Tamandua tetradactyla: one gene and its partners. The protein of the gene in region 1 interacts with the protein of each later gene in a biochemical or structural test. Links are inferred from orthologs where the notes say so. Each region holds a gene or a part of one and is shown on either strand. Other genes may lie near its edges. The genes, in order: RNF8, UBE2V2, H2AC20 and MDC1.

Region 1 (7,341 bases):
TCATGTTAAGAGCATGTACCCTTGATATGATGTGATGAGAATGACACTTTACCTTTGTGGTCTTCCTCCCCAAACCCATAACCCTAGTCTAATCATGACTAAAACCTCAGACAAATCCCAACTGAGGGTTATTCTACATAATACTTGGCCAGGCTGGAGTTATAACAATCGTTAGGAAATTAGGTTCTGGAAACAGACCTGAGTGTTACCTGCCATTTCATTTGTTACTTTGGGAATTTCTCTATGCCTCTTTCCTCATCATCCCTAAAGTGGGGATTATAATAGTAACTGTTGCTTTCTGTAGAAACAGAGCTGGAAGGATATTAAGGAATGATGAGAAAAAAAGAAAGGAAGAAAGAAAGAAAGACACAGATGGGCTCAGGGGGTCTGAAGCTTGAGTTTACTTCAGACAGACTTCAGACCCCCTGAGCCCGTCTGTGTCTTTCTTTCTTTCTTCCTTTCTTTTTTTCTCATCATTCCTTAATATCCTTCGAGCTCTGTTTCTACAGAAAGCAACATTTGGCGCCCAACGTGGGGCTCGAAGAAGACTCCAAATCAATATTAAGGAACCAAGGAAAAGTCTCATAGAGGCACGTGTGTCCAGCCGATAGAAGAGGACTCGAGTCATATTGGTAAAGTAAGCATTTTCCTTGGATCATCAGGGTAACGGGTAATCATAATAGGCGGCTGGAGGAGTATGTGTGTGTGTTAAAGCTACTGGGGTGCCTGTTAAAACATCTGAATTAGTAAGCTTATTTGATCTCATTCAAAAACATTGTTGTTGGTTTCAGCCTTAAGGCCATAATGTTTTAAATCTTAAGTAATGGAAATTCGTTATGAAGGCTTTGCAGTGAATATAAGACGGGGAAAATATTCCTGTTTCTATTTGGTTATTGTGTTCAGTCAGGCAATGAACTACCTGGCTCATGCTTTGTCTTAAACTCTAAGTTGTGTTTCTTCTCAATCTCCCACTACCACTTCTTACCCTGTTTCGACAGTTGCTTGAGCCGGACTCGGCAACTGGTGCCCAAACAGGGATCTAATAAGGGAACTCTTAAAGCATAAAGTGAGGAGATGCTCCAGGGACATCCACTACAAATACTACAGGCGGGCCTTTTTGGGTTGAGCAGTGGCCCTTATCTGTAGAGAGGTTTGAGGCTCTGACTCGGTTGATTTGGGAACAGTTTGGAGCAGGACGTTTACAGGAGTCTCGTGGTTCTTGGAATTCTCCAATATTTATTGCAGGAGGGAGGTCAGGAAAATGGAGAATGTTGACTGATTTGATAAAAGTTGATACTGTGATTCAGCCTATGGAGTCATTGCAGCCTGGCTTGCCCACACCAGTTGTAATTTCTAAGAACTGATTTATTATGATAGATTTTAAAAATTGCTTCTTTGCTGTGCCTTTGGCAGAGCAGGATAAAGAAAGATTGGTTTCTGGGCTTGTTCTTGATGGGCTGCCTTTATATAGGGATTCATGTACACCTGAGTCAGAAAGTATTCAGTGAGAAAGGTGCCATACCAAATGGGGGTCAGTGCTCATTGATGGTTCCTGTGGCAGGTTGGTCCCCAACGGGGTGTGCAGTTCGGGATTGTAGTTCTGACTCAAGGTATTCTGTTAGGTTACCTTTGTTTAGTCTGAATGATTATTCTATGAGATTTATACCAATACTACAGGTAAAGTCCTATGACTCAGAATGGGAACGGCAACCCCATCTCCTTTTGTTAACTTAAATCCTCAATAAACAGCAATTTGGAAACTGGCCATGAGTTTAGCTCCTATTCATGTTTGAAAAGAGAAATATATTTTAAGAACTTTAAAACTAAAAATTCTTGTTAAAAACTATATATTGATAGTTAATGCATATTTGAAACATTAAAGTATTTTAAATATTTAACATTATTCTAACAAATTTAATTTTGATGGTAATTACATATGTGGTAAAATATTTGTTCAAAGTAATGATTTAAGTATGAAAAATATGAAAGATGTATTTTTATTAATAGGAAAACAGAATAGTTTTATCCTAAAATGAATAACTGTTACTAAGCGAGAAAAATATAGGACAAAGCCTAAACTAATATAATAAGTGCTGAGGGTTTATAAAAATAGAAATTATGGTTAAAATCAAGAAAGATTTAATGAGTCTAAAATGACAATGTTTTCTTGGACTTTTAGCCTGTTCTAATGAAAGGATATAAAAAAAATTCTAAATAATTAGTTAGAAAGCAAAGAGTCTGTGTTTTATCAAAATAACTTGTGTTAACTTTTATCATGTTATTATCTGTATAAAAAATACTGATTTTCTCCTGGGTATCATCATACTGGCAAAAACTGCTTCTTGCTCTAAACCAGATGGCTTAATCTATTAATCTAAGTACTATTACTATAAATGAATCTATTACTGACTAAATAATATTCAAATCATTTAAATACCTAAATTCCTTTAAGCCAAAATACTTTAATGCTTTGTCCAGTGTTTATATAAACTATATATGTATAAACTAAATTTATCCCAAGATAACCATGGCTTATATTGGAAGCAGATCAGATTTGAGGGTTGAATGCAAGGAAAAAATATACTTGTGGAGTCTTTTTTGTTCACCTGATGTTGCCATTACATGCAACTGATATTGCTGGGAAGACCTTGGTAAGAAATAGTTAAAATGTACACTTTAGCTGGGAGGACTGCCTATCCCCCCAGAAGGCGGTGTACTTTAATAAAGATATCTAGGTCCCAGGAAGCTCCTCTTGGTCCCTAGCCAGTTCCCAGAGGACCCAACTGGGCCCAGTCATGTAAGCAAATCAGAATTTGGCCACTATTGTGAGAAAATATCATAAAAACTGCATGAAATAAATTTAAAATTAGCAAAAATGCACAACCAATTATAAAGAATCCACATTCTTGCATTCCTTTTTAATCAATCCAATGAATTCAATTTTAAAAATCTGGTCATTTACTATGGGTACACGTCACTATTGACACTCTGCTTTCATTTTTGCTATCTGCCACTTTAGGGATTCCTAATTATATGTTACAAAACTTGTTTGATATTTTACAAGGAGATTCTGATTTATTAAGCAAAAGGCAGTTAACAGCTGCAGCTGAATGAGAGTTACAATTAATTGAACAACGCATTCAAAAAGGACAGCTTGTTCAAATAGATCTAAAAAATCCTGTTGATTTTATTATTTTCTTTACCTTGCAATCTCCCACAGGCCTATTTTAGCCAGACGGTGTTTTAAAATGGATTTTTTTACCAAACAATTGACAAAAATGTTTAAATACATATTTGCAAAAGATTATTTCTTTAATAGTCAAAGGTCACCAAAGATATTATCAATTAAGAGGTCATGATCCCTAATTGCATAGTGTGTGATCTCACAAAGGAAGCAACAAGTAACCACCGTGATCACATTGTTTGTGAGGAGCAAATAAAGCACTTGGCCTAGTGCCCAGCACCCAGCTCTCAATAAATGTTAGCTGTTTACTGGTATGCTTTATAGATTTAATTTAGTATACATATTTTCTCCTGATATAATTTAATATAAGAAAATTGTTAAGCAGGTATTGGAAAACTGAAAAGATAACAGCGGACATTGTATCATCCCAGAGGAAGTTACTATCTACCCGGAGTAGCTACCATACTATGTTGGAGATTTAAACAAACAAACAAAAAAAACAAACACATTTTATTGAGAATAATTTACATACCATAGAATTCACACACAGGAAGTGTAGTTGTTTGACTTTTTTTTTGGTGAAACGGTTGTGCAATCACCACCACAATTCAGTTGTAGAACCTTTACATCATCGCCCAAATTCCTCAAGTCCACTTGCACTCAATCCTCCGCTTCCACTGGGCTCCAGGGAAGGACTCATCTGTTTTCCGCCTCTATAGATTTGCCTAGTATAATTTATCAAATTGGGTAATACAAGGTGGTCGTGAGAAATAGATACTATTGAGAGACAGACTTAGATTTAAAAATTACCACGAAGTTGTTCAAAAGTGGGTTACAGTTTTAAATAGTATGGATCTAAGTACAAGTTATAAGAATAGGGGTCGTAAGTACAAGTTTCGAGAGAAGGTGGGGGAGGTAAGTGAGGAGAAGCTCCAGTCTGGGGCGGCTGGGACTGGGGTTGGGGTTCTGGAGAGTGCGGGAAGCGGGGAGGGTCAGTTGATTGCCTCGGGCTGCCCGGCCCTAACCAGAGGTTGGACGTTAGCACGCTAGCGTTAGCACACCTCCACAGCCGCCTGGCCGTTTGCGCAGGCGCACTGCCCCTGGCTTGCTCTCCGGAGGCGGGGCTGGGCAAGTAGCCCGAACTTGTGATCACATCGATCGCGAGCGCGAGGCGATTGCTTCTGTCTGTTGATTAGGTATGGCACTCGCGAGGAAGCCGAGAGGCGGTAGGAGCTGGGACCTGGACCTCGCTGTGTGTTGACCGCGGCCGGGGTCTGACCTAGGCCGTCTGGGCTATGGGGGATCCCATCTCCTTAGACACGGGAGACCGCTCCAGTGGTTTGAGCTGGTGCTTGCAGCGGGTGGGGATGGACGCCGAGTGGCTGCTGCTGGAGGCTGGAAGCGAGGTGAGGGGGGGAGGGTTCCAGTTGGTGCGAGGGACGGGGGTTGGTGGAAGTAGAGGAAAAGGGGAGGGGAGGGAAGGCGTAGGGGCCCGTGGGACCGAAGGAGAAAAATGATTCTGGTGCGAGCGGTTGTGGGGTCTGAGTTGGAGTGTGTGTTGGGGGAAGTAGACATCGAGTGAGAAAATTGAAATACGGTTCATGGGAGAATAGAGGGCCATAAGGGGCCGGGGACAGAGGCGCTGGACACAGGGACTAGGAGCTAGAAGATGGCCCCTTTGAAAGAGGCCTGGACCTGAGAGACGAGCTTGCGCAGGAGTCGGGGTTGTAGGAAGTATTAGAGTGGAGGGAGCAGAGCGAGGAGTGCGCATAGACGATGTGAGAAGAAACTGGAGTTTCCAGGAGGAGAAAGGGGACTGGGACGGCCAGTTGGGGAGCGAGGGAAGTATGAGGCAGAGCTGCCCCAACTTCCACCTTGAGTTGTCAACCCCCTTAAGTTTAAGGCGGAGTCAGGAAGGGCTACCCAGAGCGTGAACTCCCGAGTTTATTTTGAAAACGATTGCGAGTTTTAGTTTATGTCCCCTAAAATACTCAAACCTTAATGTGAAAGTATCTTCCTCTTTTCCAACTCGGAGGATAATTGGCACTTTGGGATAGGCCACGTTTATCCTGTGAGTCTTGTACCGCCGCCGAGTGGCACCTCCTGAAGTGGGCAGAAGGTGGGGATTCAGAAACGTAGGAGTTCTCCTCTCTAGAGGTTGCTTATGATGTTTGCTAATGCGTGCATAAGTGGAAAAAAAAAAAAGAAATTTGAGGTGAGGTTCCAGTTTGGGGCGCTGTGCTTGGTTTGAAAGTATGTATCCCAGAAAAGCCATGTTTTAATCTTGATTCAGTCTTGAAGGGGCAGCCGTTTCTTTTAATCCTGATTCAATACTGTAGGTTGGAAACTGAGTGTGACCTTTGATTAGATGGAGATGTGACTCCCTCCATTCCGGGTGGGTCGTGATTTGTTTACTGGAATCCTTTAAATGAGGAAACGTTTTGGAGAGAGTCAAAAGCCTCAGGGTGGACTTGAACTTCAGAGCAGAGCTGACACAGATGCCAACACTTGGAGAACAGAGACACGGATGTTTGGGGATGTTTGGAGATGCTTGGAACTCAGCAGACATCGCCATGCGATGTTAAGCAAGCCAGAACCTGTAGAAAGCCAAGGGAAGCCAAGAGATAAAAGCCAGCCCCTGAGAAGCAAAGTGAGGAACTCTTACAAGAACAGAAGCTGAAAGCAATGGAGCCCAGGAGCAAGGGACCAGCAGATGACAGCCTCGTGACTTCTGAGCTGACAGAGGTGTTCCAGACCCATCAGCCTTCCTTGAATTAAGGTGTCTGTCTCTGGGTGCCTTAGTTTGGACATTTTGTCAGTATTAGAACTGTAAACTTGTTAACTTATTAAATTCCTCTTTTCAAAAGCTGTTCCATTTCTAGTATATTGCATTCCAGCAGCTTGCAAACTAATACAGGTGTCTAGGAGTGGGATGATGGTTCTAGAAAGGAGGAGTAAGAGTTGTGATCATGTTGGGAAGGAGAGGTGAATCAGGAATCCACCTGTGGTGATTGAAGTTTGGTTTGGAAATAATTTGAGAGGTTCACTTTGCAGTAAAACTAGGTGGTTGATCATTATTTGGGATTAATTTCCAAGTTTTATTCTTTGTATATTTAATTAGACTTTTCCTATAAGCAGTATAGTCTTCCCCAAAGTGTATTCATTTTGGGAATTAACAAATTAAAACATTAACACCTGGATAATGCTAACTTTACTTCTTTTGTATAGGGTTGGGGTTTTCACAAGTGTCACTTAATCTGAGTCCCTGTATATGCGCTATACTCTCACATGCAACCATATTAGATACTTAATACTCGAGTGTTAACACATTCTTTCAGATTCAGTTGCTATGGATTAATTTATTACTTCTCCTGGACAGCGTGTGATAGCACTGGGAGTCTTGGAGGGTAGCATAAGGAGAAAGAATTCAAGCACCTGCAGCAAGGGCAAGAGGACTGTCAAGCACTCTTGGACATTTAAGCTATTGGGTAATTTTGTGTGGCTGCTTCTATGGGGAAAGATGCATACAAACCTGAGTGAATGGTGAAGATGACTGCGGCTTGCCTAGAGGGCCTGGGCAAAGGAGAAGACCTGCTTGGCGTGATTATCCTCAAGATGTGCTCTTTTTTTTTAGATATTAAAAAAGAAATTTAATATCTTCAGTAAGTGAAATGGAAGGAACCCTGTTTTACCACTTTATCTGTGAAATGTAGGGCCTTGAGGGGAACTGGGAAGGTAGGAAACTGACTTTACTCTGCTGTTACAATCAAATGATGCCAGCACACCTCCTAAAATAAATTGGCTTATTGAGGGTAAGATGATGCAAAAAATATAAAAATTAAAAGCTTATCTGGCATTTAATTGACTTTTCTTCCACAGTGTGTCAAATGGGAGTTGGATTTTATTTGTACATTTTCTAAGGACCCGATCTGTTTTGAAATCCTTATGCAGAGGGAAACTGTTGGGAAGATTCCTTAAGCAGCTCTTGGGATAATTCTTATGAGGGTGGGGGAAATTAATTTCTTAATTCTGCCTACTTCTTTCCCTTCTGCTTTATGTATTCTACAAAAATAGTCATTACACGTGTTGGTGAGCCCAGCAATTAGCAAAAAGAAGCCCTGGAAGCCAACTTTGTCATCAATACTGGTCTAGATCCT
Region 2 (7,011 bases), on another chromosome or scaffold:
GGAGGAGAGGGTCTATTTCTGGTCACTCAATTCAATTCCATTGATCAGTATATTTATCTTTATGCCAGTGCCATGCTGTTTAGCCACTGTAGCTTTATAATATGCTTTAAAGTCAGGTAGTGTGAGACCTCCCACTTCATTTTTCTTTCTCAAAATATTTTTATCTTTTTGGAGCTCCCTGCCCTCCCAAATCAATTTGGTTATTTGTTTTCTATTTCTGCAAAGTAAGTTGTTGGGATTTTAATTGGTATTACATTGAATCTGCAAATCAATTTGGGTAGAATTGACATTTTAACTGTATTTAGTCTTCCAATCAATGAACATGGTATGCCCTTCCATTTATATCTTCCATGATTTCTTTTAGCAACTTCTTGTAGTTTTCAGTGTAAGGGTCTTTTGTGTTCTTAGTTTAATTTATTCATATATATCTTATTCCTAAATATTTTATTCTTTTGGCTGCCATTCTAAATGGAATTTTTTTTCTTAATTTCCGCCATAGATTCCTCATTATTAGTTTATAGAAACACTACTAATTTTTGGGTATTGATGTAAACAGTCACTTTGCTATACTCATTTATTAGCTATGGTTGTTTTGGTGCACATTTTTCAGAATTTCTGACATGTATTATCTTATCATCTGCAGAAAGTGAGAGTTTTACTTCTTCCTATCCAATATGGATGCCTTTCATTCTTTTTTTCTTGTCTATTTGTTCTGGCTAGAACTTCCAGTGCAATGTTGAATAACAATGGTGACAGTGGACATTCTGATCTTAGAGGGAAATTTTTCAGTCTTTTCCTATTGAATTTGATGTTAGTTGGGGTTTTTCATATATTCCCTTTATCATGTTGAGGAAGTTCCCTTCAATAACTATTTTTTGAAGTTTTTTTTTTTTAAACTTTTTTACTGTGTAGTATAACATGTATACAAAACAAAGAAATAGTAAAAAAAAAAAAAAAGCCATAGTTTTCAGAGCACTCTTCAACAAGTAGTTACAGGACAGATCCCAGAGTTTGTCATGGGCTACCACATGATCCTCTCAGATTTTTCCATTTCCTTTTTTTTTTTTTTTTCACATGGGCAGGCACCGGGAATCAAACCCAGGTCCTCGGGCATGGCAGGCAAGCACTCTTACTTGCTAAGCCACCGTGGCCCGCCCCAGATTTTTCCTTCTAGCTGCTCCAGAATGTAGGAGGCTAGAAAGCTTAAATATTTTTCTTTTTTATTAATTAAAAAATATATATATAACAACAAACAAAAGCAAATATTCTTTATGTACAATGCTTAGCATCTAGTAAACTCTCAATGATGCTACTCTTTTTATTTTTCATTGTAACTGCTTTCGTCAGGAATATCTGTGAGGCATAAACAGATGGGAGGTGTGAATTAAAGAATTTGGCCTTGTAGAAGAGAGCCTGGGCCTTTGCCCTAAGTTCCCTGGAAGAAATTTATAAACCCTTAAAATTTCCTGAGGATAGAAGTGTCTTTATTATTCATTCTGGGTCCTTTTGGGCCCTACGTGGTAGTTTATGCTTAGAAGGGGATTCATACTATGCCCCTTGGGCCACATTATATCAGCCTGACCTGGTAGGTGAGGAACTGGTGACTGAAGTCAAGGTTGTGGGCAATTGATTAATTAATCTTGCCTACATAATGAAGCTCAATTAAAACTCTGGACATCAAAGTTCAGGTGAGCGTCCCTGGTTCCAGATGTTTTAATTCTACGGGGCAGTCAGAGGTAAGGCCTGAGGACAACTGAAATTTTGTGTTTGGGACTCTCCCACACTTTGCCCTATGCAACTCTTGGCCTAATCTTCCTTTTGCAGTGAAAAAAATTATATTTAGAATTAGCTAGCTGCATTCAGTTTAGATGGTCCCAATTTCGTTGGCAACATCCAAAGCATCTTAGTTATAAGTCAGTGGAATGTATGCCTTCTTTTCTCCATCAGACAAGATTAAGGTGTTGACCTTGGCCACGTCAATGTCATAGAGTTTCTTCACAGCCTGTTTGATCTGGTTCTGGTTGGCCTTGACATTCACAATGAACATCAGTATGTTGTTCTCTTCAATTTCCTTCACTGCTGACTCAGAGGGTAAAGGGAACTTGATGAAGGTTTAGAGGTCACGCTTGTTCCTATATTTGGGCTGTCTTTAGAGACCCAGTGTCTTGAGCTCATGAAAGGTGGGTGATGCGTGGGTCTTTTTCTGTGTGTGTGCATTTGGCCACCTTTCAGCCCCGCCCTTTGGCCATCAAAACATTTGCTTTGGCTTTGGTTTCTGGAGGAGCAGAGGCTTCCTTCTTCACTTTTGGTACCATTCCCATTAAAAGATCTTTGGCTAATTTTGAACTGTACCTTTTCCTTGTAATAAACTGCAACTGTGAGAATAGTAACTTCCAGTGAGTCCTTTTACTGATTTACTGACCTTAGGGTGGCTTCTGGAACTCTGCCATTCCACCACTCTGCAGTTGTTGTAAGAAGTGAGAGCAATCTTGGGGGCTGTGTCCTCTAACTTTGTAAGTTAACCCTAACTGCTTGCAGTTGGTGTCTGAAGTCTGGGCAGACTTGGCAGTCTGGAGGACTGTTCTCTCAACCTTCACAGTTTGGCTAATTCTGGGTTAAAGATAATCAACAAAATTGTGAGGTCTTCCTTTATTTAATCTTGCTTCCATTCTAAATAAACAGTAAGAGGGGCAGGCAGATCATTGTATATGAGTTGCATACAAAAAGGCTGCTTCATTTTACTCCTCTGAGCTCCTGGAAAGCACAGAACTCAGCTCAATGTCTGGTCCAGTATAATATTTAGTAAACATAATTGCATGATGTATTAAAAAAGTACTACAGTTGGTGTTCAGACGCCTGATTTCACAACCCGCTTTCACCATTTACCATCTTTTTCATTTTGGAAATGTTGCTTAATTTCAGTTTCCTCATATGAACCTTGCTGTGAGGATCGAATAAGAAAATGAATATAGTAGACATAACATTTATTACTTGATTTTAAAAAGTGAATCACTACCGTTATTAGATCTCTGGAATGCAGGAGACTATCAGGGGAGTGAGACATAACAAGATGTATATAATATACATGAATATATTGAATAGATTACAGAAATGCTTATAAATGATCAGCATTCCTGAAGAACACGCAGGAGCTGTTAGAAAAAGAAAATACTTGTTTTCTGAATTGATATGAATTATCTTCACAACAAACGACAAATGCTAAATCAACTATTTTTAGTCATGATTGGTGGGATTGGATATGACCGGAGAGTAACTGATGGCAAAGAACTGAGAACAATGGATCACACACCAGAAGGCCTGGATCACATTCCAGGTAGTCATGAGGCTCATATACAGAATGAAAGAGTTTTATAATTGAGGTGTGCTGGGAGAAAATGGAAAAAAATAGCTTACTCCACTCTCCCAAGTCTCAACTGGGGTAGAATTTGGAATGTACAAGAATCACCCATTTGAGACGATAAGATGAACTATTTATGGCAAGAGTAGTAGTTTCTGTGATTTCAATCAGGTTCAGCAAAGAGGCATATGCCCTTTCACAAAAATTCCCCTAGCTTTATTTTTTAAAATGCTCTTACAGAAAAATGCATGGCGGGCCACGGTGGCTCAGCACGCAGAGTTCTCGACTGCTATGCAGGAGACACGGGCTCGATTCCCGATGCTTGCCCATGTAGGAAAAAAAAAAATGCATGGTTTGCTTGGCAAGGGGGCTTCTTGGATGCCCAGCCAGACACCTCAGCTTTCGCTGGTGGAAAATTCGGGTTGGACCTGAGTTACCCAGTCTCCCTCATTCGGGAGAGCTTCGTTCAGAGGACCCATATCCCTGCCCCTCGAGCCCAACGCGCCGTTCCAATTCCTCCCGATTCTCGGGTTTCGGGCGACTGCTCTACGTCGGCCCTTCAGCGCAAGGTCCAGGGGCGGGGCTCAGAGGCGAGGCGGAAGGCGGGCTCCCGGAAGTGACGCAACACGTCGCCAGACGTGCGTGCGGCTGCGTTGGGCTGCAGGAGAAGATGGCGGTCTCCACAGGTCGGTTCCCGGGCCGGGCTGCCTTCCTTTCTCTGTCCGACTCAGCCCTACGCGCTCCGCTTGCTGCTGGCGGGCGGGCGCGGGCAGTGGGCGAAAGGTCGGAGGGTAAGCCCGTGGACCCGAGCTGTCGACGGACGAGGTCTGGGCAGGGTTCGGGCCGGCGAGTGCCGGCGAGGAGGCCCGAGCGGCCGAGGGGAGGCGGCTGCAGGTCGTGTTTGCGCGTTCGCGGCGCGCGCGCGGCCTGGGGCGGGGTACCCCGGCGCGGACACACTCGCAGGGTCTTACGTTTTGGGGCACGGGAGGTCTGGGCCGGAGGAGGTGCGGGGGCACGGAGCGGAGGCCTAAGGTGGGCGGGTGTCAGCTACGGGACCGGGAAGGGCTTCGAATTAAGGGTTGTCCTGGACTGTGGGGGTCCGGTTCTCCTGTGCTCGAATTCCGATCAGGATTGAATTTTTGGTTGCTGTTGTGGAAGAATAAGGGAGAGATGATCATTTTAACGTGACTGAATACGTGTTATCTTTTTTTAAGTGAAAAACTGCGGTGCAAACAAAATTAAACCGCAGAGCAAAATGAAAGGTAATTGAAGAACAAGTGGTTTCTTAGATAAGCCGTTCAACTCTTTTTCCGTACTGTATACAATGTTTGATTTCCTATTAGCACAGCCTTGAAATTAAGCATTACTGCCGAGGTTTTAGAAATTTGACCATTAAAAAAATGTTAAGTTAAAAATGTTAAATTAAAAAAAATAAATTTTACGATTTAAAAATATTAATGCATATAATGTCACTTTTCTAATCTTTATTGAAACATTAGGTTATATAGAACAGTGTCATTTAATATTTCGTGTCATCATTGCATAATAAAACGAATTTTCAAATCTTTGCTAGAATGAAAGTTCTCAAATGTGTGTCATAATTGGTATTTTTAAATTAATACCTTAGGATACATCCTATGTGTTTTTTAATAAAAAATATCTTTTGAATCTCAGCTTTGTTTTGTACAGGTGTTATAGGTGATAAGATCTTTAAAAAATCTAGAATTGGAAAAATATTTCAATGTACTTAGGGTCAAAGATAACTAGTATTATCTCTGAGCACGTTTTATTAAGAAAATGACATTTTACTTTAATTTGTACTTGCCTCAGATTGAATATCTCAGGTGTTCTTAAAGAGTTGTGCTCAGTACCTACAGGGTCTTGAAATTTTAATAATAAAATTGTGTATTTTGATTTGACTTGAGTTTTTATTTTGTGGATTGCATTGTTTAAGCAGGATTTTTTTTTCTAATACCATACATGTGGAAGAGTTTTAGAATACTTTGGAAAAAAAAAAACAGTAGATGATTTCAATGGCACATACTTTTTGTTAACCTTGCCTAGTCGTTTTTGAAGGACTTGGGAGGCTTGGGAAAGTGGAGTAAGCTATTTTTTATTATAAATTATAAAGAATTTGCTTATCATTAGCATATTTATTATGTATCAGAAACCTGTATTTTACATTGTCTGTTACTGTTTCCTACTGTTTTTTTATTTTTTCTTTTACATGGGCAGGCACTGGGAATCGAACCTGGGTCTCTGGCATGGCAGGAGAAAATCACTGTTTTTTGACTTAATGAAATTTGAAACCTAAGCATAATTACAAAGTAAAATATTTTAGGCAATTCATTGAGTTTTCATGAACTACTGAATTTCTATTTGAATCTGTCGCTAAGAATTTTCCCTGGTCAATTTCCTATTCATTTGTCCATTTTCGGCTTTTTAGGCTATGGACTGTTGAGTGCAAAATGGACTGTGTTTTAAATCTGAATAATTATGTTTGAAATATAGTTTCAAAATAGTTATGTTTGAAATATCGTTTCTTTCAGGTATACTTCCGTATTGTCTGTTTTGGTAGCATGGGAGTGAAACAGTACCTGTATATTTGGATATATATTTGAATATACAGGTGTATTTGTGTATTTGAAATAAATGTGTTGTAGCTTGAAATTTAAAATTAGAAGAGCTAAATGGATGTGATATACGTTTTTTTATTTTTATATTGAAAAAATGGTTATTTGAGAGGAAAAAATCCATTTTCAAATATTTTTTGATCTTTAAATATTATGTTTGAATGTACAGTATCCAAATCACATGCTTTTACCCTTCCTTTTACCAGACAAAAAGAGTCGGAAACAGAATCTAATTAGCTGAGCCTTAGCTGGAAGGTTATCATCCTGTCTGGTCATCTTATTTTACAGAAGAGAAAACTGAGGCCTAAAGAAATAAAAGATTATACATAGCTGACTGGAAGTGTTCTCTCCCTTATGCTGAAAAGTGAAGTTGGCATATTCCTCAGTACTTGGATTTTACTTCTTTAAGAGGTTAGAGTATGGCTTTCAAACTTGCCTTCGTAGCGGAGGCCTTGATTTGGAGACCTAGAACCTTCCCACAAATATGAGTGGAGCTGCAGTGGTTCCAGACCCCACTGTCTGGGTTTCCTTTCCAAGAAGCAGAGTCATCCCTGGGATCCAGAGGATTATGCAGAATATGGTTTAAGAACCAGTGTTAATAATGCTGGGAATAGAAATTCATTGAATTTAGTATCTGTGACTCAAAAATTTCGTTAGATCTTAGCATCATTAATAAAAGTTGGTGTTAGATAAAGAAGTATGTATAATACTTAAAAAAAATTAACCTTTTGATTTTAGAATAACTTTAGATTTACAAAAAGGTTGTGAACATAGAATAGAGAGTTCTCAAATAACCTCCCATATACCCCACATTCAGTTTCCTCTATTGTTTACAGCTTTCATTAGTTTGGTACGTTTGTCACAATTATTGAACCAGTACTGACACATTAATGAAAGTCCATACTTTATTCAGATTTCCTTAGTTTTTACCTTAGTTCGAGCCTTCAGTGGAAAAAGGATATTACTTAATGTACTATTTCTGTCCCAGGATTCCATCCAGGATATCACACTTCGTTGTAA
Region 3 (5,316 bases), on another chromosome or scaffold:
GCGGTGCGGGGCGCCCACGGCTGTCGCCCGCTCGCCATTGGCGGCGGACGCGGCTGCGCGCTCAGCCAATCAATCAGGGCCCCCGCCCCGCTCCGCTCCCGACCTGCGCTTATAAATCACAGCAAATGGGTTCCCTGCTCCATCCCTGCCCTTGAAATAGAAACAGCCACTGTGCTTTTAGCTGCAATGTCGGGCCGCGGGAAGCAGGGGGGCAAGGCCCGCGCCAAGGCCAAGTCGCGCTCGTCCCGCGCCGGCCTGCAGTTCCCGGTGGGCCGAGTGCACCGCCTGCTTCGCAAAGGCAACTACGCGGAGCGGGTGGGGGCGGGCGCGCCGGTGTACATGGCGGCGGTGCTCGAGTACCTGACGGCCGAGATCCTGGAGCTGGCGGGCAACGCGGCCCGCGACAACAAGAAGACGCGCATCATCCCGCGCCACCTGCAGCTCGCCGTGAGGAATGATGAGGAGCTCAACAAGCTGCTCGGCGGCGTCACTATCGCGCAGGGCGGCGTCCTGCCCAACATCCAGGCCGTCTTGTTGCCTAAGAAAACGGAGAGTCACAAGCCGGGCAAGAGTAAGTAACCACGAGATGTGACGCCGCCACCGCCCCCCACCCAAAGGCTCTTTTCAGAGCCAACTAAACAGCAAAAGAAGGGCTGATGACAGGTAGCGCTAGCTCTTTCCTCTGAAAAGTTGGGTGGCTCTAAAAAGAGCCTTTGGTGGTCTTTGGCGTTATCGACAGATTATTTGCTTTTAGCCTTGTGACTTTCGGTTTTCTTTGGTAAGAGAACAGCCTGGATGTTGGGCAGGACGCCGCCCTGCGCGATGGTAACTTTGCCCAACAGTTTGTTGAGCTCCTCGTCGTTGCGGATAGCCAGCTGCAGGTGGCGAGGAATGATGCGCGTCTTCTTGTTGTCGCGGGCCGCGTTGCCCGCCAGCTCCAGGATCTCGGCCGTCAGGTATTCGAGCACCGCCGCCATGTACACCGGCGCGCCCGCCCCCACCCGCTCCGCGTAGTTGCCTTTGCGAAGCAGGCGGTGCACTCGGCCCACCGGGAACTGCAGGCCGGCGCGGGACGAGCGCGACTTGGCCTTGGCGCGGGCCTTGCCTCCCTGCTTCCCGCGGCCCGACATGGCAGATCAAAACTAAACACACAAACACACCAAGAGACAGAAAATTGGTGGTAGCAACGCGGCAAAAAGAAAGCCTTTATAAGCCTTCCTAGGGGTGGGGTCAGGAGCGAGACTCTCATTGGTCCTAAGTTGGCTCCAGAAACAGCCAATAAGGTCCAGAGTAGGCGCTGTTACGTAGGCATTGATGATAAAACATGGCCCAATGGAAAGGAAAGACTTTTGGAGCCCTAATTTGCATAAGGTGGTTATAAAAGGTTCAGGCCCGCCTATCCTTGTGTCTCCTTTGCTGATTTCAGCGTTATTTTATAATGCCTGAACCAGCAAAGTCCGCTCCCGCTCCCAAAAAGGGTTCCAAGAAGGCCGTCACCAAGGCGCAGAAGAAGGACGGCAAGAAGCGCAAGCGCAGCCGCAAGGAGAGCTATTCCATTTACGTGTACAAGGTGCTGAAGCAGGTGCACCCGGACACTGGCATCTCGTCCAAGGCCATGGGCATCATGAACTCCTTCGTCAACGACATCTTCGAGCGCATCGCGGGCGAGGCGTCGCGCCTGGCGCACTACAACAAGCGCTCCACCATCACGTCCAGGGAGATCCAGACGGCTGTACGCCTGCTGCTGCCCGGCGAGTTGGCCAAGCACGCCGTGTCCGAGGGCACCAAGGCCGTCACCAAGTACACCAGCTCCAAGTGAGCCCCTGCCGGGCGGGGCGCGCACGCCAGCGCTCGCCTAAAGCTCCAAAAGGCTCTTTTCAGAGCCACCCACTCGGTCACAAGAAAAGAGCTTTCTCCATCTAATATTTCACTTTAGATTCGTTTCTAAAGGAAACGTGGAATCGGGAGTGATTCGACCCCGGCCCGTGACTAGTTATGTTTTTGAGTTCAGACCCATCTTTATCCTTTGTGTTTTCAGGGAAAGGATTTATTAGGATGCAAAGGATTTGTTGTTTCCAATTGTTTGTAGGGTAGGCGGCGCTTTGTTAACTTGGCGTGGAAAACGGAGTGATTTCAACTGATGAACTTAATGGAAAGACCCCAGGATACATTGAGTTCGGGTCGGAAACGTCGTACGACAGCTTTTTGTATTAGTTATGTAGCCATTCTTGGAGCGACTTGCATGTGGGGTCACCGGTGGCCGCCCAGGGGTCCCAGTGGCTGTAGGCGCCCCCTGCGGAGCCCACACCCAAACGCGCCGGGTTGGACGGGGTGAATTTTCAGAATCCCGCTTCGTTTCGTAATTCGTAGCTTCCGATTCCTCTGCTCACTACAGGATTCTAAAACCTTATTCCGCGCCCCCCCCCCCCCCCCCCCCGGTTCTACGGGTTATTTTACATATAACGCTGCTTGGAACGCGGGGTCCTTAGGTCACCGCAATCCTTGCCCTGGTCACGTAGGTTTGGTCCCAAAGTCACCTCGGGGAGACCGCCCCCCCCCCACCAGATAAGCCATTCAGGAGTCCGCGCCTCTTATTCCAGTCTTTCCGTTCACTCTTTTTTAAACTTCTTCGTAGCAGCTTGGGAAATTGTGTGGTTCGTTTGTCTTATTTATGGTCTTTATTCCCCTCCGGTTTGCGAGCCTTTGAGGGCAGGAAACCTGGCCTGGTTCTCGCCTGGTTCTCAGCTGTATCTTCAGCGTGGCAGGGCCAGAAGCAGTGGGCACTGGCTGCGTGAGTATTTGAGTTCATTTCCCACACCGTTTTCTTGGACGAATGGGCGCGCTTGTTTCCCCTTAGCTGTGTCTGAAGCCACCACGCCTCGGTGAGAATGGACCTGTGGTTTGGAGCACATTCCAAGTACAGGACCTGTCTGCAGCCACTGGGAGGGGCGATGGTCAGGTCCTTTCTGCGCGGGGGGATGTGGTTTTGGTAAGACCTCCCTTTACTTCCCGGCTCAGAGTAGTGTCTTCGGGGTGATTATCAAGTTCAGAGCGTTCGTCACTGGAAAGTGCAATGAGCCTTCCAAGCCAGCTCCCTTTATGCCCGCCCCCTCCCCCCCCATCCTGATTCTCTTCTTCACTGGGACTGCTGTTAATATGCCCTATCTCCCTTGTTTCTCAGGAGACTCTTACTTAGCTGGGACAGGCAGGACCCCAGGGCTAAAGACCCCTTCACAAATGAAGTTCACAGTCACGAAACTAAGGTTTTGATGGTGTTTGTATCCTCAGGTATGAAGACAATTGCATTTTGGTTTTATTTTGTGGAGTTATAGAATTTCGAATGTTTCTGTCCAAGTTGTGCTTTTACTGACGAAGGCACTGCTGCTGGTCTGAGCAGTTTCTGCACTTTCCTTTGGGTTAAGGGACTCCTGAGTTGATTCCAGAGGTTTCATGAATCCGAATAGGCCCTGATATTAGTGCAACTTGTATCTCATTCTTGTGTTTTCAAATGTGTGTAAATGCAGTTGTTAAAAATAAAGTTATGAATTAGGGTGGGCCATGGTGGCTCAGCAGGAAGAGTTTTCGCCTGCCATGCCGGAGACCTGGGTTTGATTCCTGGTGCCTGCCCATGCAGAAAAATAAATAAAAATAAGGTTGCCAATTAATTTGAAAGCTTTGCTGGGTCCGTTAATCTGTAATACACTCTCAGTTAAACAAAATAACTGCCACTGAATCTTCAAGAAAGCTGAGTACCTGTGATCTGAAGGAAGAATATACACCTTCAGCACAAAATTCACTTCCCCAAAGGTCCCCTGGGGCTGAAATAGTCTGATGAGAAATCACTTTTCATGCTTAGTGTTTTGAAAACTGTGACAACAGATACAGAGTATAAACAGGGTGGAGGAAATAAAGGCTTTAAAGTTTACTTTAGTAAATGATAAAAGCTCATACCTATAACAGCTCTTACCATGTGGCATCTCGTGTTTTGTGTCCTTTACACTCATTGACTCATTAAATCCTCACCAAAACTGTATGAAGTAGGTATTACCATTACCCTCCAATTTACAGATGAGGAAATGGGCACAGAGAGACCTTTCCTCAGAAACTCTTCAGAGAATAAGCTGCTAGTCTCTGTAGCTTGGGAAATTTTTTTGATGACCTGAGAAAGTAGGCTCACTAGCTGAAAATCAGGACCCTCCACCCCTACCCCTGGGTGTTTGGGGAAATAGCTATCGCTTAAAACTTAAATGAAACACCACCTGCTTTACTCTTTTCAAAATGCACACTGGATGTAAATCTGGGTGGGGGGAGGTAAGGAGGTGATGACTAAAGTCTTACATACCGCTCCCGAGGCTTTGGGAGGGGGTTGGGGAGCTCTGGCTCTCCTGCCTAGAGGACACAGCCTAACTCAGCTGGCCTGGCCCACCTGGCACTCAACAGTTGGAATCTTTTCATGAACACTGAAGAACACTACTTGCTGGTTGCAGGCCCTTCCTGGACATGATGTTCATTAGGAAGGAAGTTACAGAGTAAGGAAAGGGAAAGAGGTGATAGGGTTTGCTATTTTCACTGGGAGGGGAGGTAATCAGTGATGGTGAGATTAATCCTAAAGACTCTCTTTAATCATTTCTTTCTCCCACTCAAACATCTTTAATTGCCTTTGCTTATATTGGAGTTAATAATCATAATTATTAATAATAAGTTACTATTTTAATAATTACTATAATTAAAGTAATAATTGCTATCACTTACTGAGCACTTAACTATTACCTGGTCCTCTGCTAAGATACTTATGTGAATTATCTCAGATTTTCACTTGATAGGTACCATTATTATCCTTATTTCACAGGTAAAGGAAATTGAGGCTCTGAGAGGTTAAGTAACTTGCCCAGGATTGTACAGCAAGTTAGTAGAACTGCAGTCCAGTGCACAGTTTTAAAAACCCTGGTGTTTAAGGCTTTCCGTTATCTCCATCTTTTTTTTTCCATCTTTATCCAGGTTTTCTGCTCTAGTCAAAGTGATCTACTCACCTTCTCCTAAGCCTACTTGTTTTTTTCTGACTGCGGATTGGACTGCCTCTGCTTTCTGGCATGGCCAGCTTTCTTCTTCAAGTCAAGGCTCTTATGAGTTCCTTCCCCCTTGGGAAAAGAAAGTTTATCCTGTTTCTCTCTGGAGCCACCATGTCATAAGGTCAGAATTTAAAAGTGGAGAAGGACTAGGACCATCCCAACTGTCCATCACCCAGATAAATGGATTAACAAATATAGGGAAGCAATAGATATGCCCTCCACTGGGCTTGAAAAAATATCCATGCTG
Region 4 (7,258 bases), about 8.7 Mb from region 1:
CTTCATGTGACTGCAGCGCACGCGCGGGTCTAGCCGCCGACAATGGGAGGCGTCGCGCGTGGGAGAGGCGGGGCCAAGGGCTTGAATTACGGGCGCGTGGGGCGGCGCCCGGCTGGGGCTCGCGCGCCCCCGCGGGCCAGCAGGACCGCATTGTCCTCGCGCGCCTAGGGCGCCCCGCCCCGCCGGGCCCGCCCTTCTGCTACAACGTAGCAGCGGCACTTCCTCCCGTCCCCTCCCCCGCTACACTGTAACCGCGCGCAAAAAAAAAAAAAAAAAAAAACCCTAGGCCTTGGAATTTTATTCCTTCGCTAAGTTTCTTTTTCTTGCTTTAAAGGAGGGTTGCCCCTCTCCCACTTAGTCTCCTACGGCTATTTTAAGCGGGCATGCTCCCTCCTTTTCTTCCACCCTCTCCCTATCTGTTCACTCCGTTAAAGGATCTCGTTAAGGAAAAATGAAATAAAATTGATCACGTACATTTTATCCTTTCATTCACTTAAAACTACAGGGACCGGAGCCGTGCGGGGGTCCCTTATCTTTTGTTAAGGGGGCCGGGCAGCAGTCCACATGGCGCATTGTACCCCACCCCACCCCCAGTTAGGCTAGACGCCCTCTGCAGCTGCCCGCCCAGCCTCGCCCCTTCCCCCTCGGGCTTCGCCCTAGGAACTCCCGCCAAGGGGGGGGGGGGGCGAGCGCGAGATGCACATGGGGCAGGCTCGCCTCGCTTTGTCTCGGGAGGTTTCCGCATCTCGCTCCCCAGTCCTCGGACCGTTAGGAGATCCTCTAAGTGCAATTTTACAACTCCTCGGTTTTCCCGCCCCCGAAACCCGAAGGGTCCTTTCCGAAAGTGAGCCTGCCAAGAAAAATAATCCCCCATTTTCCAAAGGCAAATTCTAGCCACAAATATGTATAAAACTTCCCCCCCCCCAGCTTAAGGATGGAGAGCACGAATATCCCACAATCATTCTTCATAATTTAAGGCTTTCCTTCTTCCTGCTCAAAAGAAATACAGTTAAAGAGATTTAAAATCCTTACCTTGGCACCGATCTGGTTGCCACACTGACCAGCCTGGATGTGCACGATTTCCCTCATGGTTAAAATTTATTTTAACTTTTTGCTCGCCTCAAAGTGTGTGCGGGGCAAGAGAATGATATGGAATCTTTCCCTCCGCGGGTCGCAAGCTGGCAGGATGGCTCGTGGCCCGGAGGCTGGAGCAGCAAGGTCCGAACGCGGCAGCAGGAAGGCTTTGAGAGGGAGAAAGAAGGAGGGGGGAGGGAGAGGGAGGGAAGGCGGGCAGGGCGGGGCGCGCGTGCGCGGCGGCTGGGAGGCGGGAGAACCGGCCCCGCGCGGCGGTCGGGAGACAAAGCCTCATCCACGCTGGCCCTGATTAGTTGATGGCAGTCATATACCAGCCGTCCATTGGTCTCGACTCGCAGTGGACGAGCGCGCTCCTCTCTGGGAGTTGTAGTCCTCTATTGTTGTCCACGCCGCAAAATGAGGTGACTAAAGGGTGGGTACCGGGTGATTTTTTTTGTGTTTCGTTTTCTTTTGTTCTTTTAATGAAAAATGATGACCTTGTGCAAGATCGCTTTCTTTACTCCTGAGTTTTTTTGCACAGAAAGGGAGTTTTCGAAGATACAGGAATTGGGAAGACTGAGATGCCAGGCGTTGGGAAGTGGGGTGGGCACGCCCAGAAAGCTCCCTGCTGCCTTAGCTCTTGAAAAGATAGGAATGCTTAGTTCAGCGAAAACTGGGGAGAAATGCGGCACCCTGCTCTGCTACCCGACGTCTGGTTCTTTGTTGACCAAACCTGAACTCCAGTAAACCACTGCGCCTCAGGAAGCAGTTGGGGATTGTCCTTCTCTTATTTATTCGCTTGAGAATTTTCGAATGATGTTTCGAAAGAGAAACAGTATTGCAGCAAGGACTTTCCAGGATAGAGATGTAGCTGCTGGAGGGTATGTTCAAAGAATAAGTTGAATGGTTTAGGCAAGTTGATGTCAGAGTACTGTGAAGCCAGAAGTTTCAGTCCAGTAGGGAATCTGGGCCTCATGTGGGCGTTGTAGACATCTTGGTTTTCTTGTCAAGCAAGGAACTATGGAGTTATATGTCTGATAGAAATAGCAGGGTCTTTCCAGCTTGCCTTTCTAGGTACTTTGATGAAGGCAATGTTTTTTCAGTTTGCTGCTTTCATTTGTAGCTAACTTCAAGAGCTACAAATGAAATGGGGAGAATGGGGGGATCGATTGGTAAGGAGAAATCGGATGGGATCCAACAATGCCACTCTGACCAAAAGGGAAAAGAAGTGTAACAAATAAGGTATCAGTGGCTGAGAGAGGTCGAGAGGCTACTCTGGAGGTCACTCTTAAGCTTCAGTTAGACATCGTTACCTATCATAACTTGCCAAACCCTAACCAAAATCATTCTTGCCAATCCTAAGAGTGCCCAGGGAAATATATAAGATTCTACCAAAGTTCCGTGCATTAGGGTTACCTACAACCTCCAGATGGGTCCCTGGACAAGATAAATCCTGAATGCAGAGGGGCCATCCTCTCCAGAACATCAACTGGTTCCATCCCCCATCCCATATTTTCAACAGCCCCCTCCAACGTGAAAAAGTTAGAATGGACATAGCCCAAATACCCCTAGAGAGTGGGAGAAAGCTCAAAGATGATGGTGTAGTTATACAGAGAAGGTAGGGTTTAACAAATGAGTATGATTGCTGAATCATTCATTACATTGATATTTATTTTCATCTCCAAGTGTCTTAGAGCAGCTAGAAGTAAAAACCTAAAATTGTGGAAGTGTGACCCATACCAACCTCTGAAAACTGTTCTACAACTAATTGTTGCCATTTGCTTTGAAATTTATTGCTTTTTTGTATATGTTATTTTTCACAAAAAAAGTTGATTGTGATTATAAAAGCACAGCTATATGATGATATTGTGAATGTGCGCTTTGGATGATTACATGGTATGAGAATATATAATATAAATAATCTTAAAAATTGGATGGGATGATGTCACAGTAGCTTGCCTTTTGTTCCCAAATATCCAGTCATTTGATAGATATTACGTGTTCATCAAACCAGAAGCTAGAGATACAAAAATGATTAAGAACTAGCGTCCTGTCTTCCAGGACCTCAGTTTGATGAGAGTTGGATAAACATAGTAACAATAGTGTGGGAAGCACTATAATAGAGATGTGATTTCAAGGTCGTCATTGTTAATTCACATTGGATTTAATACATTTCTCAAGTCACCTTCTAAATAATGGAATATCAAGTTGTGTAAGACCCTTCCTCATCTAGTCACTTTAGATAGAATATTTTATGTTCTATACCATGATCACAACGAAAGCCATTATTTTGTGGCAGTGGAAAGAGTTTAGAACTTAGAGGACTTGTTTCGAATTTATCTCTACCTTACATTAGCTTTAGGAACCTTGGCAAGTCGTTTAAACCGCAGAGCTTCAATTCCTACGTTTGTTAAAATCTAGTTCTGCCTCTTGTATTATGTGGTCAGAATTAAATGAGAACTAATGGGAAAAATAAATGCATTTCAAAGTGCTGCAATTCTTTTCATGTCAGCTTGAGATACTGAAATGATTTTATTATCCTCCCACTCGTTGAAAGGTGCGGACAGATCTCAGTAATCCTTTTAAGACGGTTAGCCCAGCAGTTCTCTCTGTTCGCCTAGGGATCTGTGCTTTAGGAAAATGACCTCAAAATCTCCGTCAGTGATGTATCCCCAAGAAGAAATGACATGACCTCTGCAGAACAAGACAAGTCAAAAGGAAATGAAATTCCATTGCTATGAGGAGTCCTCAAGCGCCACGCCTACGGCCTGTTCGCACTGCAGCCTGCAGCCACGACTGCAAGCCGCAACCCACTTCTCATGAGTCAGCGGACACCATGTCTGGGAGGACCGAGAAAGGACGCCCTGGCCGCACCAAACGCATTGAGCGATGGCTATCGTATAGCCCTTCTATCCTCCGCAAGCAGCGGGCGCCAAACTCTATGGTCACGGTTTGGAAATCTGCGCGGGAAGTGGGCAGTGAGCGGTGAAGCGGCGGTGGGTTGTCCCTTGGAACTGCCCAATCGAGGTGCGTAGTTGCCTGCGCGCAGAGCAACATCGGATTAGTGTCTCGCAGTGTCCTGCGAGAAGCTGCCCGGGCGGGGCGGGGTGGGGCATGCCGGGGGTGGAGTTTGGGCTGCTTCAGCGCGGGAGGCTCCCCCAATCAGCGTGCAGCCGAGCTGTGAAGACAGCCTCAGGAGCCAATCAGCGAATCGGCTCCTTCCCGGCGTCCGCGCTCGCGCCACCTGGATCGCGGCCGTTACTAGCGGCGCGCGCGACGACTCAAAGTAGGTGAGTTCTGGACGCCCAGTCCGCTGCTCCCCGGGTGCCATCTTGATTCTCCCGGAGGGCGGGAGGGGCGTGCCCTAGGGGCGCCTGGGCGGAGGCGACTCGGAAGTTTGCTTCTGGGATTGTCCTGCCCATCCGCACCTGACGCCCCGCCCCGAGCTTAGGTCCGAAGACGCAGGGAGACGTTGGATCCTGAGGGGACCCATTGGTGTAAGGTTCCAAGATGGTGGCCCTTGGGTTGGAGTCAAGGGTCGTGGGGGACCCGCTTAGTTGTTCACAGGGTCGGAGTTAACACTTTTTCCTACTTGTCACCAGTCAATGGTTTCTCTCTAGGGTGGCATCTTTTTAAGTGGATTCTACCCGTGTTATTTTGAGTTTACATCTCCTTCCATTTGTTCTTTTTTCGATAAGCTCGGCGATGTAACTCTAGGAGGGCAAGGTTAATGGCCCTGCCCACGAATGGGTGTTGAAGGCCCAAATGAAAGTAATAGTTCCAGTGTGATAAGAACTGTTAGGAGAGACACGAGTCCATTGATCCCTGTGGAACACACAGGATCCACCAGGCGTCCTGGAAAGGCTTTGCTGAGGAAATGACATTTAAACGGAATTTTGAAGAATAAGTGGGAGTTGAACAAGGAAACTAGGAGTGAAGGGCAAGGGCAAGCTGGGCTAAAGCAGGCAGGTGTAAGGAGATGCGGGGATAGTATGTTGAGAGATAGGGGAGAAGGCCCATTTGGCTGAACCATAGGCTGTTGGGGCAGGAAGGTTAGTGCATTGCTGGACATGAGGTTCAGCTAATTGAGGGTTTTACTAAAGAGTTTAGGTTTTTGTTTTGTCCTGGGATCATGGAAAGCCTTCAACGGGTATTGACAGAGGCGAGACATTATCTGGGTGATCTTGGACATGTTCTTTAACACATCTGTGTCACAGGTTCTTTTATCAGAAAAATGGGAGCTACCAGCTACCTTAAAGTGTTTTGTACAGGTTAAGTGAATCAGTCAGTGTGAATTAATTAAAACAGTGCTTTGCACAAAGCAAGCCTCTGTATGTCACCAGGTATTGTGATTCTTTGCAGTTTTCTCTGACCACACTATATGGCAAAGTGTAAAACACATGGACCTTGCAGCCAGAAGCACATTTATTCCTGTCCTTTCCATTTGCTGTGTTATCCTGAGCAAATGATTTAATATTTTTAGTCTTAGTTTCCAAAATGCCTTTCTCATATGGCCGTTAATGCCAGACATGTAACACAATGCCTGGGCCATAGTTAATGTTCAGCAAACGTTTGTTCCCTTTAAAATTATGTTTTTCAGGGTGGGCAAAGGTGGCATAGTGGCAGAGTTCTCACCTGCCATGCCAGAGACCCGTGTTGGCTTCCTGGTGCCTGCCCATACAAAAAAAAAGAAAAATTATGTTTTTCAAACTGAATTATGACCCAAGAGTAAATAGTGAAATCAGTGTAGTGGTTTGCAAATTAGCATTTAAAAAACAGAGAATTTAAAAAAAGAATGAAAAGATATCAGTGTATTGTAAATAGTAGGGTTTAGCATTATTTCTCAAAACCGTATTTTTATAAATAAGCACAAAGGTTTAAATATATCTGTACCAGGAGCCATATCATTTTCTACTTTATGTCATCATCAAAAATGTTTGAGAAATACTTCAAAAGACTATCGAGAGAATGAATGAGAGAAAAAGAAGCATCAGTTTCCACAACTATCCAGTTTTACCTCCAGTTATCAATTTCTTCTCTGATGTTGTGTGTGTATGAACTAATGGTGAGGACAATGATAATGTGTTTCTTTCCCAGGTCATGGAAGATACCCAGGTTATTGACTGGGAGGTTGACGAAGAGGAGGAGGAAGAGAGAGCCAGTGAATCCTTGGGTTATAGTTTGGAGCCCTTAGGGCGACTGCATATCTTCGGCAGTGCCCATGGACCAGAAAAAGGTCAGGGGATATTGGGTACTGAAGTGTTTGTATAAGTCGTTTACTTTTTTTGTGAGGAGGTATCTGGAGGGTTGCAGGAGGCTTATATATATTTCAAGGAGATTTGAAAAAAATTTTTTTATCAGAAATGGAAAAGATGCTATTTGAGTTTATTGTTCTAATCTAGTGCCCTAGACTCAGTGGGAGTGATTTTACTTTCGTAGGAGAAGATGGAGAGATTCAAATTAAAATTCAGGGTGGAGGGATATGGCTTATATATATATATATATATATACGCTGTACAGTGGGGGTCACATTTCATTCTTTTCCATTGAATATCCCAGTATCACAGCACTATTTTTGTTTGCTGTTTTTTTTTGTTTGTTTAAGTACATCGGCCAGAAATCAAACCTGGGTCTCCTGCATGGGAGGCAGAGGATTCTACCACTGAACTAACATGCACTCCCTTGGAGAGAGTATTGAATATGAATAATACATTGTGTATACTCTTCAGTGCCTAGATGTTCTAGAGCCTTTTGTTTTTCTAATGCAAGTGGGGGCCTTGAGTGAGTAGAGAAAAACGTAACAGCAACATTTTCCTAAGAAAAGACTCTGGCCTTGGAACCTATCTTCCTTTCTAATTCTTAGATTTCCCACTATATCTTGGGAAGAATGTGGTAGGCCGAAAGCCTGACTGCTCTGTGGCCCTGCCCTTTCCGTCCATCTCCAAACAACATGCAGTAATTGAAATCTTGGCTTTGGACAAGGCACCTCTCCTCCGTGATTGTGGGAGCCTCAATGGTACTCAAATCCTCAGGCCTCCTAAGGTTCTGAGCCCTGGGGTCAGTCATCGTCTGAGGGACCAGGAGCTGATTCTCTTTGCTGACCTGCCTTGCCAGTACCATCGCCTGGATGTCCCCCTGCCTTTTGTCTCCCGAGGTACCCTAACTGTTGAGGAGACACCCAGGG

What was found.
Region 2: the proteins of RNF8 (region 1) and UBE2V2 form a complex in vitro, tested with the Homo sapiens proteins (2 studies listed by BioGRID). The link is inferred for Tamandua tetradactyla from reciprocal best matches to the Homo sapiens genes RNF8 and UBE2V2.
Region 3: of the proteins of RNF8 (region 1) and H2AC20, one has a biochemical effect on the other in vitro, tested with the Homo sapiens proteins (2 studies listed by BioGRID). The link is inferred for Tamandua tetradactyla from reciprocal best matches to the Homo sapiens genes RNF8 and H2AC20.
Region 4: the proteins of RNF8 (region 1) and MDC1 form a complex in vitro, tested with the Homo sapiens proteins (2 studies listed by BioGRID and IntAct, with this or other methods). The link is inferred for Tamandua tetradactyla from reciprocal best matches to the Homo sapiens genes RNF8 and MDC1.

What each region holds. Positions count from the first base shown.
Region 1 is NC_135331.1:94,290,380-94,297,720, forward strand, and holds the start of RNF8 (E3 ubiquitin-protein ligase RNF8), read left to right. Parts: upstream 1-4,341; 5' UTR 4,342-4,479; coding exon 4,480-4,590; intron 4,591-7,341. UniProt on the Homo sapiens protein: E3 ubiquitin-protein ligase that plays a key role in DNA damage signaling via 2 distinct roles: by mediating the 'Lys-63'-linked ubiquitination of histones H2A and H2AX and promoting the recruitment of DNA repair proteins at double-strand breaks (DSBs) sites, and by catalyzing 'Lys-48'-linked ubiquitination to remove target proteins from DNA damage sites.
Region 2 is NC_135332.1:90,674,154-90,681,164, forward strand, and holds the start of UBE2V2 (ubiquitin-conjugating enzyme E2 variant 2), read left to right. Parts: upstream 1-3,986; 5' UTR 3,987-4,028; coding exon 4,029-4,044; intron 4,045-7,011. UniProt on the Homo sapiens protein: Has no ubiquitin ligase activity on its own. The UBE2V2/UBE2N heterodimer catalyzes the synthesis of non-canonical poly-ubiquitin chains that are linked through 'Lys-63'. This type of poly-ubiquitination does not lead to protein degradation by the proteasome.
Region 3 is NC_135330.1:5,947,709-5,953,024, forward strand, and holds H2AC20 (histone H2A type 2-C), read right to left. Parts: upstream 1,186-5,316; 5' UTR 1,131-1,185; coding exon 741-1,130; 3' UTR 580-740; downstream 1-579. Other genes in the region: histone H2A type 2-B, read left to right, coding at 187-579; histone H2B type 2-E, read left to right, coding at 1,439-1,819. UniProt on the Homo sapiens protein: Core component of nucleosome. Nucleosomes wrap and compact DNA into chromatin, limiting DNA accessibility to the cellular machineries which require DNA as a template.
Region 4 is NC_135331.1:85,600,514-85,607,771, reverse strand, and holds the start of MDC1 (mediator of DNA damage checkpoint protein 1), read left to right. Parts: upstream 1-4,242; 5' UTR 4,243-4,364; intron 4,365-4,374; exon of another isoform or gene 4,375-4,571; intron 4,572-4,693; exon of another isoform or gene 4,694-5,417; intron 5,418-6,171; 5' UTR 6,172-6,174; coding exon 6,175-6,310; intron 6,311-6,937; coding exon 6,938-7,258. Other genes in the region: TUBB (tubulin beta chain), read right to left, coding at 1,033-1,089. UniProt on the Homo sapiens protein: Histone reader protein required for checkpoint-mediated cell cycle arrest in response to DNA damage within both the S phase and G2/M phases of the cell cycle.